Linked DNA regions of Macaca fascicularis. The protein of the gene in region 2 purifies or fractionates together with the protein of the main gene of each other region. This does not show direct contact. Links are inferred from orthologs where the notes say so. Each region holds a gene or a part of one and is shown on either strand. Other genes may lie near its edges.

Evidence for each region.
Region 1: the proteins of KLF6 (region 2) and SP1 purify together in Homo sapiens (affinity purification with western blotting, with the first as the bait; 3 studies listed by BioGRID). This does not show direct contact. The link is inferred for Macaca fascicularis from reciprocal best matches to the Homo sapiens genes KLF6 and SP1.

The regions. Positions count from the first base shown.
Region 1 is NC_088385.1:60,179,245-60,187,316, forward strand, and holds the start of SP1 (transcription factor Sp1), read left to right. Parts: upstream 1-3,026; 5' UTR 3,027-3,128; coding exon 3,129-3,135; intron 3,136-3,386; exon of another isoform or gene 3,387-3,505; intron 3,506-3,639; exon of another isoform or gene 3,640-3,670; intron 3,671-4,474; coding exon 4,475-4,632; intron 4,633-4,927; coding exon 4,928-6,440; intron 6,441-8,072. UniProt on the Homo sapiens protein: Transcription factor that can activate or repress transcription in response to physiological and pathological stimuli.
Region 2 is NC_088383.1:4,682,585-4,689,836, forward strand, and holds part of KLF6 (Krueppel-like factor 6), read right to left. Parts: intron 4,753-7,252; coding exon 4,179-4,752; intron 2,763-4,178; coding exon 2,639-2,762; intron 2,014-2,638; coding exon 1,962-2,013; 3' UTR 1-1,961.

The DNA of each region.
Region 1 (8,072 bases), on a different chromosome or scaffold from region 2:
AACTCCTGACCTCAAGTATCTGCTTGCCTCTGCCTCCCAATGTGCTGGGATTACAGGCGTGAGCCACCGCGCCCAGCCTTCTTGGTGTGTTTTAAACTGGGTTTAGGGACTAATCACTTGAAAGAGCTACTTAAAAATACGTTTAAGGTGGAAGTCTAGGAATCTGCCTTTTTTGAAAAAGAACCCAGAGGATTCTGAGAGTGTGTGACATTTCGTTTTGAGAAATCTTGATATAGTGAGAGATGCAATTATTTGTCATATAATCTGATAATTTTTTTTTTTTTTTTGAGACGGAGTCTTGCTCTGTCGCCCAGGCTGGAGTGCAGTGGCGCGATCTCGGCTCACTGCAAGCTCCGCCTCCCAGGTTCACGCCATTCTCCTGCCTCAGCCTCCCGAGTAGCTGGGACTACAGGCGCCGGCCACCTCGCCCGGCTAGTTTTTCGTATTTTTTAGTAGAGACGGGGTTTCACTGTGTTAGCCCGGATGGTCTCTATCTCCTGACCTCATGATCCGCCCATCTCGGCCTCCCAAAGTGCTGGGATTACAGGCTTGAGCCACTACGCCCGGCCCTTTCTGATAAATTTCATAACAAAGGTATATAAGAGGATGACGCCATTTGAGCTGACCTGGAAGTAGGGGTAGGATTTTTTTTTTTTTTTTCAGGAGCTAGACAGTAAAAATTAAAAAGCATTTATATATTTACTTACTTTGGGGACAAGGTCTCTCTCTGTTTTCCTGCCTGGAGCGCAGTGGCAGGATTTGGGCTCACTGCAGCCTCAACCTCCTGGGCTCAAGCGATCCTTCCACCCCAGGCTCCTGAGTAGCTGGGACTACTGGCGTACATGACCATGTCTAGCTAATTTTTGTTATTTTTTTGTGGAGACGGGGTTTCACCATGTTGCCCATGACTGGTCTTGAACCCCCGGGCTCAAGCAACCCGCTCGCCTCGGCCTCTCATAGTGCTGGGATTACAGGCCTGAGCTACTGCGCCTGGCAGCATTAATTCACTGAAGAATCTACAGAAAACTTTTTGTGGAACTATTCTGGGTTGGAATCTAACACTTACGACTCATTTGCTTTGTGACCTTGGGTAAGTCACTTCTCAGCCTGAATGTCTTCACTTATAAAATACATAATATAGCTAATACTTAATAACATCTTCCTGATAAGGATGACACGAAATACCAACTGCCTCCCTGACTTAGGCACCTAACACTGTAGGCAGTCAGCAATTACTTCACCTTTTTACCTGTCTAAAGCATCAGAGGCCTCAGTTCTTTTTTTTTTTTTTTTTTTTTTGAGACGGAGTCTCGCTGTGTCGCCCAGGCTGGAGTGCAGTGGACGGATCTCAGCAAGCTCTGCCTCCCGGGTTTTTACGCCATTCTCCTGCCTCAGCCTCCCGAGTAGCCGGGACTACAGGCGCCCGCCACCTCGCCCGGCTAGTTTTTTTTTGTATTTTTTAGTAGAGACGGGGTTTCACCGTGTTAGCCAGGATGGTCTCGAACTCCTGACCTCGTGATCCGCCCGTCTCGGCCTCCCAAAGTGCTGGGATTACAGGCTTGAGCCACCACGCCCGGCCAAGGCCTCAGTTCTTAACTCCAAAGGGCTTAAAATAGTATAGGAGAATTCAGATTTTAAAACATAAGAACATACAAGCAAGCGACAACATTTAAGATACAAATACTGAAGGACATGACCTTATCGTGTCATTGACAAGCTATCAAGGCCGGCTCCACCAAAACACGGATAAAGAGGAGGCCAGAAATCCAGGTGCCTGCAGTAAAGTTTAACCTTCGTGATTGCAAAAAGCAGGAGCTCAACTATCTTGCTTTATGCATAGGCGGTATTTACTATTAACTCCGAAAAATGGAAGTGACTTATCCGCACTTTAGCCTCAAAGCTTGAAAAGTTAACCAGTCGTAAGTGGTTAGCGCCTTTGTCTGGCGGAACTTAACAAAATGGCGTTTTCTGGAATCTTACGGAGACTCTGCATATTGGTCAGCTCAGTATTAACTTATTTGGTGAGCGCTGTCCCCAAATCCCGTTCCGGCTGCACTCGCAGGGCTTGCAGCGACATTGAGGTATCTGCCCGCCTGTCCGCCCACCCGGGAAACGGGTAAGATTTGAGAGGTACTTTATAGGGGCAGTTAAATGAAGACTCAAACAAATCCTAGTGTTGATGCGGAACTGCGCGCCGAATGCCTTGGCTCTGACACCTGTTGAGCTGCAAGACTCCACTAAAGCGTCCCACCTAATGACTGTAACAACGTCCCCTGAGGTGGGCCAATATGGCGACGGTCTCCTCTTGGCACAGCCCTCTTCCCTCCCTCATGATGGGCGGCTCCGGTAACGCCCATTGGCCAACTAGGAGGCGGTGCCAGGCTTACTTCGTTCCCTCATTGGATTGAATAACTGAGGGAGCCGCCAATTCTCCTCTGCCACTCCAAGTTTCCGCCCTCAGAGTTAATCTGGCGTTTAATTGGCTTTTAATTCACGTCAATATGCGTCCTTTCCTGTCTTTTTTCAGTCTTAATCCAATCATAACTTTCCTGGCTGCCCGCCTGATTTCTGATTGGTTTTAATCAGCTTCAGCCTATCCTATTCCTGTCTACTTCTTACCTCTCCTCCCACTAGGATTTTGCCCAAGCATATCCCGGATTCTAGTTGGCCGTTGTTCTGTCATTCCTATCAAAGCTTTCCCTATCCCAATGTCTCAGGGAGCCCGCCTGCCGGTTGACTGGTTTCCTTCCAAGCCAATAATCCCCAGCTCCCGCCCATCTTCACTTCCTGCATCCTTCATTGGCTTTTAACACTGAGAGGGCTGTCTTTTTGGGCGGACACCAGGCACGCAACTTAGTCTTACACGCCTTAGAGAGCAAGCGAGTCTTGCCATTGGAAAACCTCACCGTCTTTCTTCTGCAAGTCCCACCTTTCCCCCTCCCTCATTGGGCGGGGCAGCAGAGAAGGGGCGGGGCATAGGTTGGGCTGGTGGCGCGCTGCTCCCTCCTCCTCACCCCCCCCTCCCTGTCCGGTCCGGGTTCGCTTGCCTCGTCAGCGTCCGCGTTTTTCCCGGCCCCCCCCAACCCCCCCGGACAGGACCCCCTTGAGCTTGTCCCTCAGCTGCCACCATGAGCGGTAAGGATGAGTCCACTCCAGGCTTAGGGGTGGGAGGCGAGTGAGGGGGCGCGCGCGAGGGCCGACCGGGCGATCCCCGCCGTGAGGGGGGGCGGGCGGGAGGCGGCGGCGGCGGCCTAGGTCCCGCCCGGGGCGGAGGGAAGGGAGGGAGACGGGGCAGTGGCTGGGCCTCCGAGGAGGAGGGGGATGGGCCGCCCGCCCCGGGGGAGGGGGCAGCGTGGCCTCGCCCGCCCCCTGCCCGCCCCGGCCACGGGGGACGGGCCTTACCCCCCACTACTCGGCCGCCCGCCTGAGGCTCCTCCCGCCGGGGGCTGGAGCCGCGGGGGCGGCCCGAGCAGTGAAGGCCCCGCCCGGGCCAACCGCTTGTCTGGTCCGTCCTCTGGTCGCCGCCTGCTCCGGCGCCCTCCTCCCCCCACTTTCCGTAGATTTCCCTTCCCCCCGCCCCACCGTCCCGCCCTTTCCACGCCCCTCACCCCGAAACCGCCCTTTCCCTCAGGGCCCGCCCTCCGCCCCGAAACCTCCTGACTACTAACCAGTACACCCCTTTAGTTCCTTAGTAGTATTCACAAATGTTTTCCTACTAAAACTTTTTATTTCTTTTTCCCTTCTCCTCTTGTTACTTTTAATACTTGGGTTTTTGTTTATCTCTCTCTTTTTTTTTGAGAGGGAGTTTCGCTCTTGTCGCCCAGGCTGGAGTGCAATGGTGCGATCTCGGCTCACTGCTACCTCCCGGATTCAAGCGATTCTCCTGCCTCAGCCTCCGGGAGTAGCTGGGATTACAGGCATGCGCCACCACACACGGCTAATTTTGTATTTTTAGTGGGGACGGGGTTTCTCCTTGTTGGTCAGGCTGGTCTCAAACTCCTGACCCCAGGTGATCCTCCTGCCTCAGCGTCTCAAAGTACTGGGATTACAGGCATGACCACCGCGCCTGGCCTCTCCATCTCTTTTAACCTTAATTTTAGCAAGCTTTCCATCCGCCCACATATTGTTTTTTGCCTTACTTGTCCTTTTTTCCCTTAGGATACTTTTTCTTATTTTGAAACTCTTTCAGCATGACTACCATCCTTCACATTTCCTATCCCCAAAGCACTTTTTGAATGTTTTCTTAGTTAATTTTGTGTAAGGGAGAATTGAGGCCCACTTTTGGCACCATTGAGCCTAGTTCATGTCCTGCATGCCCTGCAGCTCCCCTCTGCCCTCCAATCCATTTTCTTTATACTGGCGCCTTTCGCCTTCCTGTTAGTCATTGCTATTTCATCATAGCCTCCTTTTATCCTTCCTACTTCATCTCTTTTCTTCCCTCAAGTTTAAGTTGTTTGTTTTTTAATTGTTTTAGACCAAGATCACTCCATGGATGAAATGACAGCTGTGGTGAAGATTGAAAAAGGAGTTGGTGGCAATAATGGGGGCAGTGGTAATGGTGGTGGTGCCTTTTCACAGGCTCGAAGTAGCAGCACAGGCAGTAGCAGCAGCAGTGGAGGAGGAGGAGGGCAGGTAAGTGATAATAATAGAGTGGGGAAGATGTTGAGAGGATGTAAATATTCTTAGATAATTGCCTTACTCTTCATAGAAAGCTTTTTAGGGAGCTTATCAAAACCATTTTATAGATAAGAAGTAAGAGTATGGAGATCCCCAAAGACAGGAGTTTCAGCAATACAGATAGGTCAGCTTTTTGTTTCTGTTTTTTGCTCCTTGTCTGCACTACGTTGCTGTTTATTTGTTGTATACTGCCCCCTAGGCTGGCAGCTGGGTGTCACTAACTCCTTTCCTCTCCCTTATTTTTGGCCAGGAGTCCCAGCCATCCCCTTTGGCTCTGCTGGCAGCAACTTGCAGCAGAATTGAGTCACCCAATGAGAACAGCAACAACTCCCAGGGCCCGAGTCAGTCAGGGGGAACAGGTGAGCTTGACCTCACAGCCACACAACTTTCACAGGGTGCCAATGGCTGGCAGATCATCTCTTCCTCCTCTGGGGCTACCCCTACCTCAAAGGAACAGAGTGGCAGCAGTACCAATGGCAGCAATGGCAGTGAGTCTTCCAAGAATCGCACAGTCTCTGGTGGGCAGTATGTTGTGGCTGCCACTCCCAACTTACAGAACCAGCAAGTTCTGACAGGACTACCTGGAGTGATGCCTAATATTCAGTATCAAGTAATCCCACAGTTCCAGACCGTTGATGGGCAACAGCTGCAGTTTGCTGCCACTGGGGCCCAAGTGCAGCAGGATGGTTCTGGTCAAATACAGATCATACCAGGTGCAAACCAACAGATTATCACAAATCGAGGAAGTGGAGGCAACATCATTGCTGCTATGCCAAATCTACTCCAGCAGGCTGTCCCCCTCCAAGGCCTGGCTAATAATGTACTCTCAGGACAGACTCAGTATGTGACCAATGTACCAGTGGCCCTGAATGGGAACATCACCTTGCTACCTGTCAACAGCGTTTCTGCAGCTACCTTGACTCCCAGCTCTCAGGCAGTCACCATCAGCAGCTCTGGGTCCCAGGAGAGTGGCTCACAGCCTGTCACCTCAGGGACTACCATCAGTTCTGCCAGCTTGGTGTCATCACAAGCCAGTTCCAGCTCCTTTTTTACCAATGCCAATAGCTACTCAACTACTACTACCACCAGCAACATGGGAATTATGAACTTTACTACCAGTGGATCATCAGGGACCAACTCTCAAGGCCAGACACCCCAGAGGGTCAGTGGGCTACAGGGGTCTGATGCTCTGAACATCCAGCAAAACCAGACATCTGGAGGCTCACTGCAAGCAGGTCAGCAAAAAGAAGGAGAGCAAAACCAGCAGACACAGCAGCAACAAATTCTTATCCAGCCTCAGCTAGTTCAAGGGGGACAGGCCCTCCAGGCCCTCCAAGCAGCACCATTGTCAGGGCAGACCTTTACAACTCAAGCTATCTCCCAAGAAACCCTCCAGAACCTCCAGCTTCAGGCTGTTCCAAACTCTGGTCCCATCATCATCCGGACACCAACAGTGGGGCCCAACGGACAGGTCAGTTGGCAGACTCTACAGCTGCAGAACCTCCAAGTTCAGAACCCACAAGCCCAGACAATCACCTTAGCCCCAATGCAGGGTGTTTCTTTGGGACAGACCAGCAGCAGCAGCACCACTCTTACACCCATTGCCTCAGCTGCTTCCATTCCTGCTGGCACAGTCACTGTGAATGCTGCTCAACTCTCCTCCATGCCAGGCCTCCAGACCATTAACCTCAGTGCATTGGGTACTTCAGGAATCCAGGTGCACCCAATTCAAGGCCTGCCGTTGGCTATAGCAAATGCTCCAGGTAAGCTTTCCGATCTTTTGCATTTATTGGGAACCAACCCTAGCATCTTAGCTGAAACTTGAGTCTAAATAAGGGAATAGAGCTTTTTGAGATAACACTTTCTTGAGGGCTAGTCATATAGGCAAATAAATTTGAGAAATAGAGATTCTGTTTAAGTAATTTGGAACTGAAGTAAAGGAAACTTCTCCAGTTAGTTTGATGAGAAAGGAGCACTTCTGGGCAATATTTTGGAGTCTGTGTACTACTCAGTGTTTTTGGTGCTGCAGAATAAGGGTTGACAAACTTTTTCTGTAAAGGGCCAGATAGTAAATATTTTAGGCTTTGTGGGCCTCATGTGGTCACGTTTTCTTTTCTGTTTTCTTTTTTTTTTTTTTTGAGATAGAGGCTTGCTCTGTTACCCAGGCTGGAGTGCAGTGATGCAGTCTCGGCTCACTGCAACCTCTGCCTCTCGGGTTCAAGCGATTCTCCTGCCTCAGCTTCTTGAGTAGCTGGGATTGCAGACAAACGCCACCATGCCCAGCTAATTTTTGTATTTGTAGTAGAGACGAGGTTTTGCTGTGTTGGCCAGGCTGGTCTCAAACTCCTGACCTCAGGTGATCCACCTGCCTCAGCCTCCCAAAGTGCTGGGATTACAGGTACGAGCCCCTGCGCCTAGCCACATTTTCTTTTTTGTATGTTTTTTTCCGCACCCTTTTAAAAATGTAAAACCATTTTTAGCTCTAAGGCCTTCTTTGGCCTGTAGGCCAACTCCTCCATAGGATAAAAATTGATTATGGGCCGGGCACGGTGGCTCACTCCTGTAATTCAGGCACTTTGGGAAGACGAGGCAGGTGGATGGGTAGAGTTCAGGAGTTCAAGACCAGACTGGGCAACATGGCGAAACCCTGTCCAACAAAAAATACAAAAATTGGCCAGGCATGGTGGTACATGCCTATGGTCCCAGCTACTCGGGAGGCTAAGGCATGAGAATCGCTTGAATCCGGGAGGCAGAGGTTGCAGTGAGCCAAAATTGCACCACTGCACTCCAGCCTGGGCTACCGAGTAAGACTCTGAAAAAAAAAAAACCAAAATGTAGTCGGGCGGCTGAGCATGGTGGCTCATGCCTGTAATCCCAGCACTTTGAGAGGCCGAGATGGGTCGATCACCTGAGGTCAGGAGTTCATGACCAGCATGGCCAACATGGCAAAACCCCTTCTCTACTAAAAATACAAACAATTAGCCGGGCATGGTGATGCGCACCTGTAGTCCCGGTCACTCAGGAAGCTGAGGCCAAGAATTACTTGAACCTGGGAGGCAGAGGCTACAGTGAGCTGAAATCACATCATTGCACTCCAGCCTGGTTGACAGAGCAAGACCCTGTCTCAGAAAATAAAAAAAAAAAATTTGATTATGAGCTGGGTGCGGTGGCTCATACCTATAGTCCCAGCACTTTGGGAGGCCGAGGTGGACGGATCATGAAGTCAGGAGTTCAAGACCAGCCTGACCAATATGGTGAACCCCGTCTCTACTAAAAATACAAAAATTAGCCAGACGTGGTGGCACAAACCTGTAGTCCCAGCTACTCGGGAGGCTGAGGCAGGAGAATCTCTCCAACCTGGGAGGCAGAGGTTGCAGTAAGCCAAGATCGTGCCA
Region 2 (7,252 bases):
AGCAAGAAAGTCCTCCGTACATTGTTAAATTAAAGATAAAGCCTCTATAAAAGTTAGGTTATAGTTTTCATTTTTACCTCCTTTATGGCCATTTTGAAATACTTCTTCACAGGCTGTGGAATTTTCTAGCTAAACATTCTAGTTTCTCCTTAAAAAAAATATTTATATATTATCTATATATATAATATATATATATACACACACATACACATACTATACACACAAATATACATACACAAGAATTCTGCCCACTTTTAAAAAAAGTAGTATACTTTCTGTATTACCAACAGATAGCTAGACAGATATGTGAAACTTGTGCCTTTTAAGCAAATACATTAACATTGGGTTTATTTTTTTATACTTCTGTATCTTTAATATGTGTGAAAATGTTACATATTAAACACAGCCGGTGTGTGATCTATACAATTGTTGTGCAAGGTCTATATGAAAGTCTCAAGGTGGCAGAATTGGTCAGATTTTTCCATTTTCATGTTTTCCATTTGAACACTGACAGTCAAGTTGTCTAAAGTATTGAACAAATACTGACATGTAAAGGGAGTTTCACTCTATGTTTTTGTGAAGGAGGACCTTAAAGAGATTTTTTTTTTCTGTGTTATATGTTGATACAGTACACTGCCAGGTGAAAAAAGAGCCTTAATTAAGCATGCATCGCCCACACCCCTGTATGAGACCCCCACATAAGGGATCGCTTGCGTAAGGCACCATTATGAAGGTCAACAGTGCATTAACAGCTAGAAAACCAGAAATTAGTCCTCAAGGCATAAATAAGAGAAACATAGCTGCATGAGAAAACAGTTTCTAAGCGTTAGTGGTTTTATCCACCCAACTGAGAAAAATTTTAGGTTCTTAGCCTAATGAAACATTAGACCAATTCCCGGCCCCAGCTTTGTGACACTTAATACGTGTCCAATTTCTTCAAAGGGCATCACACAATTCTCCAAAAAGTTACTTCAAATTCAGAAGCATTTAAAAATAATCCTGTGTTGCACAATGCCTTTCTGGAAGGGGAGTGTTACAAACTCGGAGGGGAAAAAAATTGTAGATTGCCAGGCCCGGATGGCTAGGGGTCACTGTATTAGACAGACTGGATCTTAGCTGCTCATTAACTGGAATCAGTATTGCAGTCCTGACTTAAAAATGGAAAAGCATATAGTTCCCCAGACCATGCATGACTTTTTGTATTCTAAGGAAAAGTTAAATGGTTGTGTTATATTTGTAAATACACAGCTTATACAATGGGTTACAAATGAGCTATGTTGTAGCGTGTAGAACAAGCTACTTGACACATTGCACATTTAATAGCTGCACCAGACACTAAGAGCTCCTCTCACGCAGAAAACGGGGAGAGAGGCTCTCCCTCCCCACACCACTCGCCACTCTGGGGTCCTGAGTTCCCACGCCCACCCTCCAAGATTTTCCTTTTTTTGTTTTTGTTTTTTTGTTTTTTTGATTTTTGTTTTTTTCTAAGGTGCAGACACCCCCTCCCCCCACCCCCGGAAATGATTGGTGGTCATCTCATCTCATGGTATACTCCTTACACACAAAACATTCAAACTACTTTTTTTCCATCTCTTGCAGTCTTGCTAACCACAAGGAAAAAAAGTTGGCCTCATCATACAGTCAGTAATAGATCCTCAACATACAATCAACCCAACCATTAACATTCTCAGTGCGCATGCTCACGGCAAAGGCTTAGGCGCCACTTGGAAGGTCGGGTACCAGTGGCGAGTCCAGGATCACCCACATACCATGCACCACGGGTGCTATGCCGCTTCTTACAGGACTGTTTTAGCCCTCAAAAGACCTTCCAAGGAGAGGCCCTGGAGGCAACTGGGTAGGGTGCAGAACGGCATGCTTTGGCTGGAACACGCATCCCTCCTTCCACGGCCGGCTCTCAGCCTGGAAGCCTTTTAGCCTACAGGATCCACCTCTCTGCTCCCTCAGAGGTGCCTCTTCATGTGCAGGGCCAGGTGGTCAGACCTGGAAAAACACCTGCAAGGGCAAATCAGAAGCACAGAAGTTAGGTTTCCAACCCTCGCCAGTGTTCCGGACCAGCGCCCTCACCTCCCTGCCCTGCCCAGCCTAACCCCCTGCAGGGAAAGATGTGACTCTCCTCCCAAGCCTCATCAGTGTCTTCAGGGACAGGAGACACCAACTGATAGGAATGTGAATTAAGAATGTCTCCCTGCCCAGCCTAACCCCCTGCAGGGAAAGATGTGACTCTCCTCCCAAGCCTCATCAGTGTCTTCAGGGACAGGAGACACCAACTGATAGGAATGTGAATTAAGAATGTCTCCCATCAGTGGCCGGAGGTTCTCTGGAGAATCTGAACGGACTTCATTTCTAATTCTTCAAATACGAAAACTGTTGAAAGGCCAATTTCCAAACACTATCAATAAACAGACTCCAGTGTCAGGTGTACCTGGAACAGCTCTTCCTAACCACGGCCAACGAGCACACCAGAAACTTTCTAAAAAGTCCCAGGCTTGAAAAGAAACGTTCACACATGGGAAACCGTGTGCCTTCCTTCCCACGTGCCCTGCACGCCTACATAACCCTGGTCATCACATTCCCAAGGCCCCACGCTCCCTGCCCAGCGCCGTCCTCAGGCACGTACCTGTCACAGTGGGAGCATTTAAAAGGCTTGGCCCCGGTGTGCTTTCGGAAGTGCCTGGTTAACTCATCACTTCTTGCAAAACGCCACTCACACCCTTCCCACGAGCATCTGTAAGGCTTTTCTCCTGCGGAGAGAGCACAGGACAAGCGGCCCGTGACTTCACTGACCCGCAGACAGAAGGGGGAAATTCAACCCCACACGCAGTGACGGGATGCGAGGTCAGGGACCCAGTGGCTTCTGGCATTGGTAACACACTTCAAGGAAGGACTACAACTGGCAGCCTCGGAGAGACAACAGCAGCTCTGTCCTGACCCAGTCTCAGGCCTCCCACTGCTGTCCAAGGGACACGGCTTCGGCAAGGCCTGTGGTGCTGTAATCAAAGTTAACGTGAAGAATGACCACAACTCAGACCAGCAAAATGCTTGCGGGACAAGGTGTCAGCCTGCCGGACCCACGGCCCCCGCAAAGGCAGAGCTATTGCTTTCTCTATGGTAACTGTTTCTCCCAAACACACTTCTGTTTCGTACTCACTTCCCTATGGAATGAGTCTCTGCAGTTTCCTCAGGGACAGTCACCTTTCTACAAAGCTGCAGTGAGGAGCTTCTGGAAAGCCCCAGCGCAACGCCCTGGAATCATTCTCTAAATGGCAATCCAACAACCGGGTTCACTTCATTCCTTGGTCAAATCATAAATATGAATTTACTACAAGTGCTACCTGAGAAAACAAAGTTGCCAAGCCAATCCTAGGGTATGCTGAGACAGGCCTGGGCCTGGATTTCAGGCCACTTGGATCTCAATCTCAGCTGTCACCAAGCCTGTCTGGGACTGACTCGCAGCAATTTGCTCTCCTACTGATAAGAGAAGAGTCTGCATCACGTGATCGTTAAGACCTTTCCCAGCTCTAAATTTTCTGATTCCTCACCAATTATCCTAGAAATATGTCAAGGTATTTTCAAAATAGTACTTTCACCTAAGGTACGGCATTTCATTAAGAAATTGTTTCAAGCGGTATCAGAAACAAAGGCTGCATGAGACACACAGAGGTTCTCAGGAAACACCCGCTGATCAATGCTGCTGCTAACAGAGCAGGCCGGTCCCACCTGGGCCTCGGGTCATCAGCATCAAACCCACACACTCCATGCTGCCCAGCAACCCTCTGTCCTGACCCGAGTTCCATTTAGGAAACCCAAGGGCAACTCGAGGTAGCCTCGCGCGTGTGCACCGGTGAAGGGGCAGTGGCCTCGGAACCCGGGCACTGCTACGGGGGGTGGAGGTTTGGGTGTCCATGGAGAAAAGGATCTAGTCTCTTGTTTGTTTAATCTGAAAACTGTTACGCATTTATCCAACTCAAAAGTCCAGTCTTTAGGATTCTACTCTGAGCTCCACAAAGACCCAATGCTTTGGTGGAAAACATCTGAGGAAGTGAGGATTTGTCTGCTCTGACCACATCCCGTGGAGCCAGCCCTGGCTCCCTCCAGGGCTGGTGCAGTGCAGTGGCGCCCACCAGCGGCCGCCCTCCGGGGCCCGCGTGGGCACTGACCTGTGTGCGTCCGCTGATGTGCTTTCAAGTGGGAGCTTTTGGTGTAAACTTTCCTGCAGCCGTTGAAGTGGCACCGGTGCACCCTCCTCCTGCCGTCGGGGGAAGCATCGCCACTTCCCTTGTCACCTGGCTTCCCCGAAGTCCCGCTGCGCACCTTCCCTGGCGAGGGCAGCTCCCCAGGCACACAACCCCACAGTTGAGAAGGTTCCCTGCTCAGTTCCGGAGAAGATGGAGGAGTGGAGGTGACAGAGGAGCTCAATTTTCCCGAGCTGACCAAAACTTCGCCAATGGGGTCAGAGGTAAACTTGGCCGTGGGAGAAAGTTCCTCGGAGCTGTCAGAGGATTCGCTGCTGACATCTGAGTTCAGGCTGTTGGTCTCTAAGTTGTAACAAAAGCTCGGGCTGATGAGAGTGTCCTCTGGAGGACTGGAAGATATCTTCAGTTCGGATTCCTCCTTTTTCTCCCGAGCCAGAATGATTTTGGTCCACAGATCTTCCTGGCTGTCAAATTTGATTTCTGAGGCTGAAACATAGCAGGGCTCACTCTGGAGGTAACGTTCCAGCTCCAGGCAGGTCTGTGCAAAATGAACCAGAGAAGGCACGTGATTGCTATGGCAACCAAAAGTAAAAGCAAAAGCAATTTCCAAAAACATGCAAGAATGAAGGACAGATACATTGCTGCCCGATCACTACAGGGGCAAAACCTTTCATAATTAAGCATCCATGTCCTTACGGAAGTTAGAGGAAATCTGTTTCTAGAATGGTAAGAATTCAGAGGAAAAGTCAGAGGGCGAAACCTCTCCTGGCTTTCCCAATGTTGGGTCAACGGCCACAATGAGTGATGATTACTAAGCCGGTTTTTTTTTGTTGTAGTTACCAGTGTTGATGTTTCTCATGAAACCACAGGAAGAGAACCGGCCCCACACACATACCCCCCCAACAGGTTCAACCAGATTATCTGACATTGTCAAGAACCATGTGTTTTAAGGAAAGCCCCAGCCATTCACCCTTCACACCCCACAGATACCCACACAACAGGACAAAAAAGACTGCACGGCACACAGCGTGTTCTGAGGGACCCCCTTGGGGACACGTCTGACAACGCAGGGCCACACTCGGGGGAGAGGAGACAGCAGCTGTCTGTATTCAGGGGCATCGAATGGAGCTGCAGAAAAACCACCCATTTCCCGTGCAACCCAGACCGCCTATGTTTTCACAGAATGCCGTTCCCAAGTGCAGGCCCTTGCATGACACAGAACTTTAATTACTTCTACAGTGGTCAGAGAAAAACAAGGAACTTCAACAACAGGAGTGCAGAAATAATTCCAGCATGGCCATCTGCTATTGTGAAGGATGCAAGGGGAAATTACTCCACGGCCCTGCTGGGAGTCCCACAATGAACAAGAACTTTATCTACTGGCCAAGAGTACAACTGCATGAGTCATCACTCTGATTTCTTTCACGCAATGCCAAAGGAGACTTCCTTTTGAAATTCTGATCAGCAGCCCAATAAGGACCCAGTTCAAATGGACATGCAGTGTGGCATGGACAGCGCCCCTTCCCCAGCCCCGCAACCAACCTTTCAAGAAGCTACAACTGCCGAGATCAGCATCCCCTCTCCCCACCATTTCAAACTTTCTAGCCACTGGAAAAGAAAAATGGTAGGAAACATTTTAGGATTAAATTATGTCTGCCCTGATTTTCACGAGGATCAGTTGCCTGCATGTCCATATAAGGTTGTCTATACTACTGGCAATTCTACAAATTTCAGTTTCTACACCACTCTGCTCTGGTGAGCACATCATTTTTCCGGGCAGGGACTATACTGAGCACAGCCCACCCCGGGGGCTCAGGCTGACTTAGCTGTGTGCCTCTCTCCTGCCACAGGCAATCCCTCCCCCTCCCCAGGCTCGCACACAGCCAGTGTGAGCAAGCACACGGGAAAATCATGGTTTCCCCTTTCCCCCGAAACTAGGCGTCTGAGTTACAATGCACACTACAGCGTTCTGAAGAGGGGCAGCAGCGATATATCTAATTGATTTTCCAAAGAAAAAAGAAAAGCACATTTATGGAGATCTTGTTAAACTTTAATAATCCGGCTAATTTAAAATCTCCATTACGCTGATGAGCACCCGGGACCTGAACGAAGCTCTGGGAGAGTTTAAAAGCCTCCGAAGGCGACCAGGAGCCAGGTCTGGCCGTTTGCCCAAATCCCAAATGCCCGAAGGAAACTACTTAGATCAATTTCAATCACGTCCCAGGGAGCAGCTTCTTTGAGGAGAAAAAAAACAAGAGGGGGAGGGGGAAAAAGGCAGGCGAGGATTGTGAACAATTAAGCAGGCGTGTGAAGGTTGCAACACCCTGCATTTCATCCTCCTTAAAGCTTTCGAGGCTTGGAAACCCACAGCCTCTATTTGATCTGGCAATTCACTTTGTGACGAAAAACAAACAGCACAGCAGGGCAGGGAGACAACAGTAAACCCTCCTGCGATCGCTGGAGAGACAATGGGACGAGTGTCAGTCTCTCTCCCCTCGGGCGATGCTACCGATAAGCACAGGGACATGGTAAGTTTCTTAAAATTTCCAATGCCCCCAAATTCCAGTTCTACGACAACGTCGGAAACCGAGGTCCTTTTTCCCAAGCTAAGACTTGAAGCAGTTTGGACGGGCTCATTGTCACAAGACTGACAAGTCACTGGAGTGTACACAGTTTTGTTTATTTTTATTTTTCTTGGTCAACAAGAGAAGCACGTAAGACAAATAAGGCAGATCTAGGGGAAATGTTAGGCATTCCAAAGAGGGGAAAACACATTGGAAATGGTCTAGAGTTTTAAAAAACGAAAAAAATTAAAAATAAATGAGAGAGCTGGTCTACGTTCTGCTGGCAAAATGTGATATTTTAAAAAAAGCCGTTATGTACAAGCACCAAAAAGCAAAACAAAAACAAAATCTTAAAAAAAACAAAAAACAAAAAACAAAAACTTTGGCAGGCAGAGCAAGTTGGTCCCCATGACAAGCTCCAGCTGTGGCGTCTGGAGCAGGGACAGGCTCCGAACTCGTGCCAGGGGCTTGGCC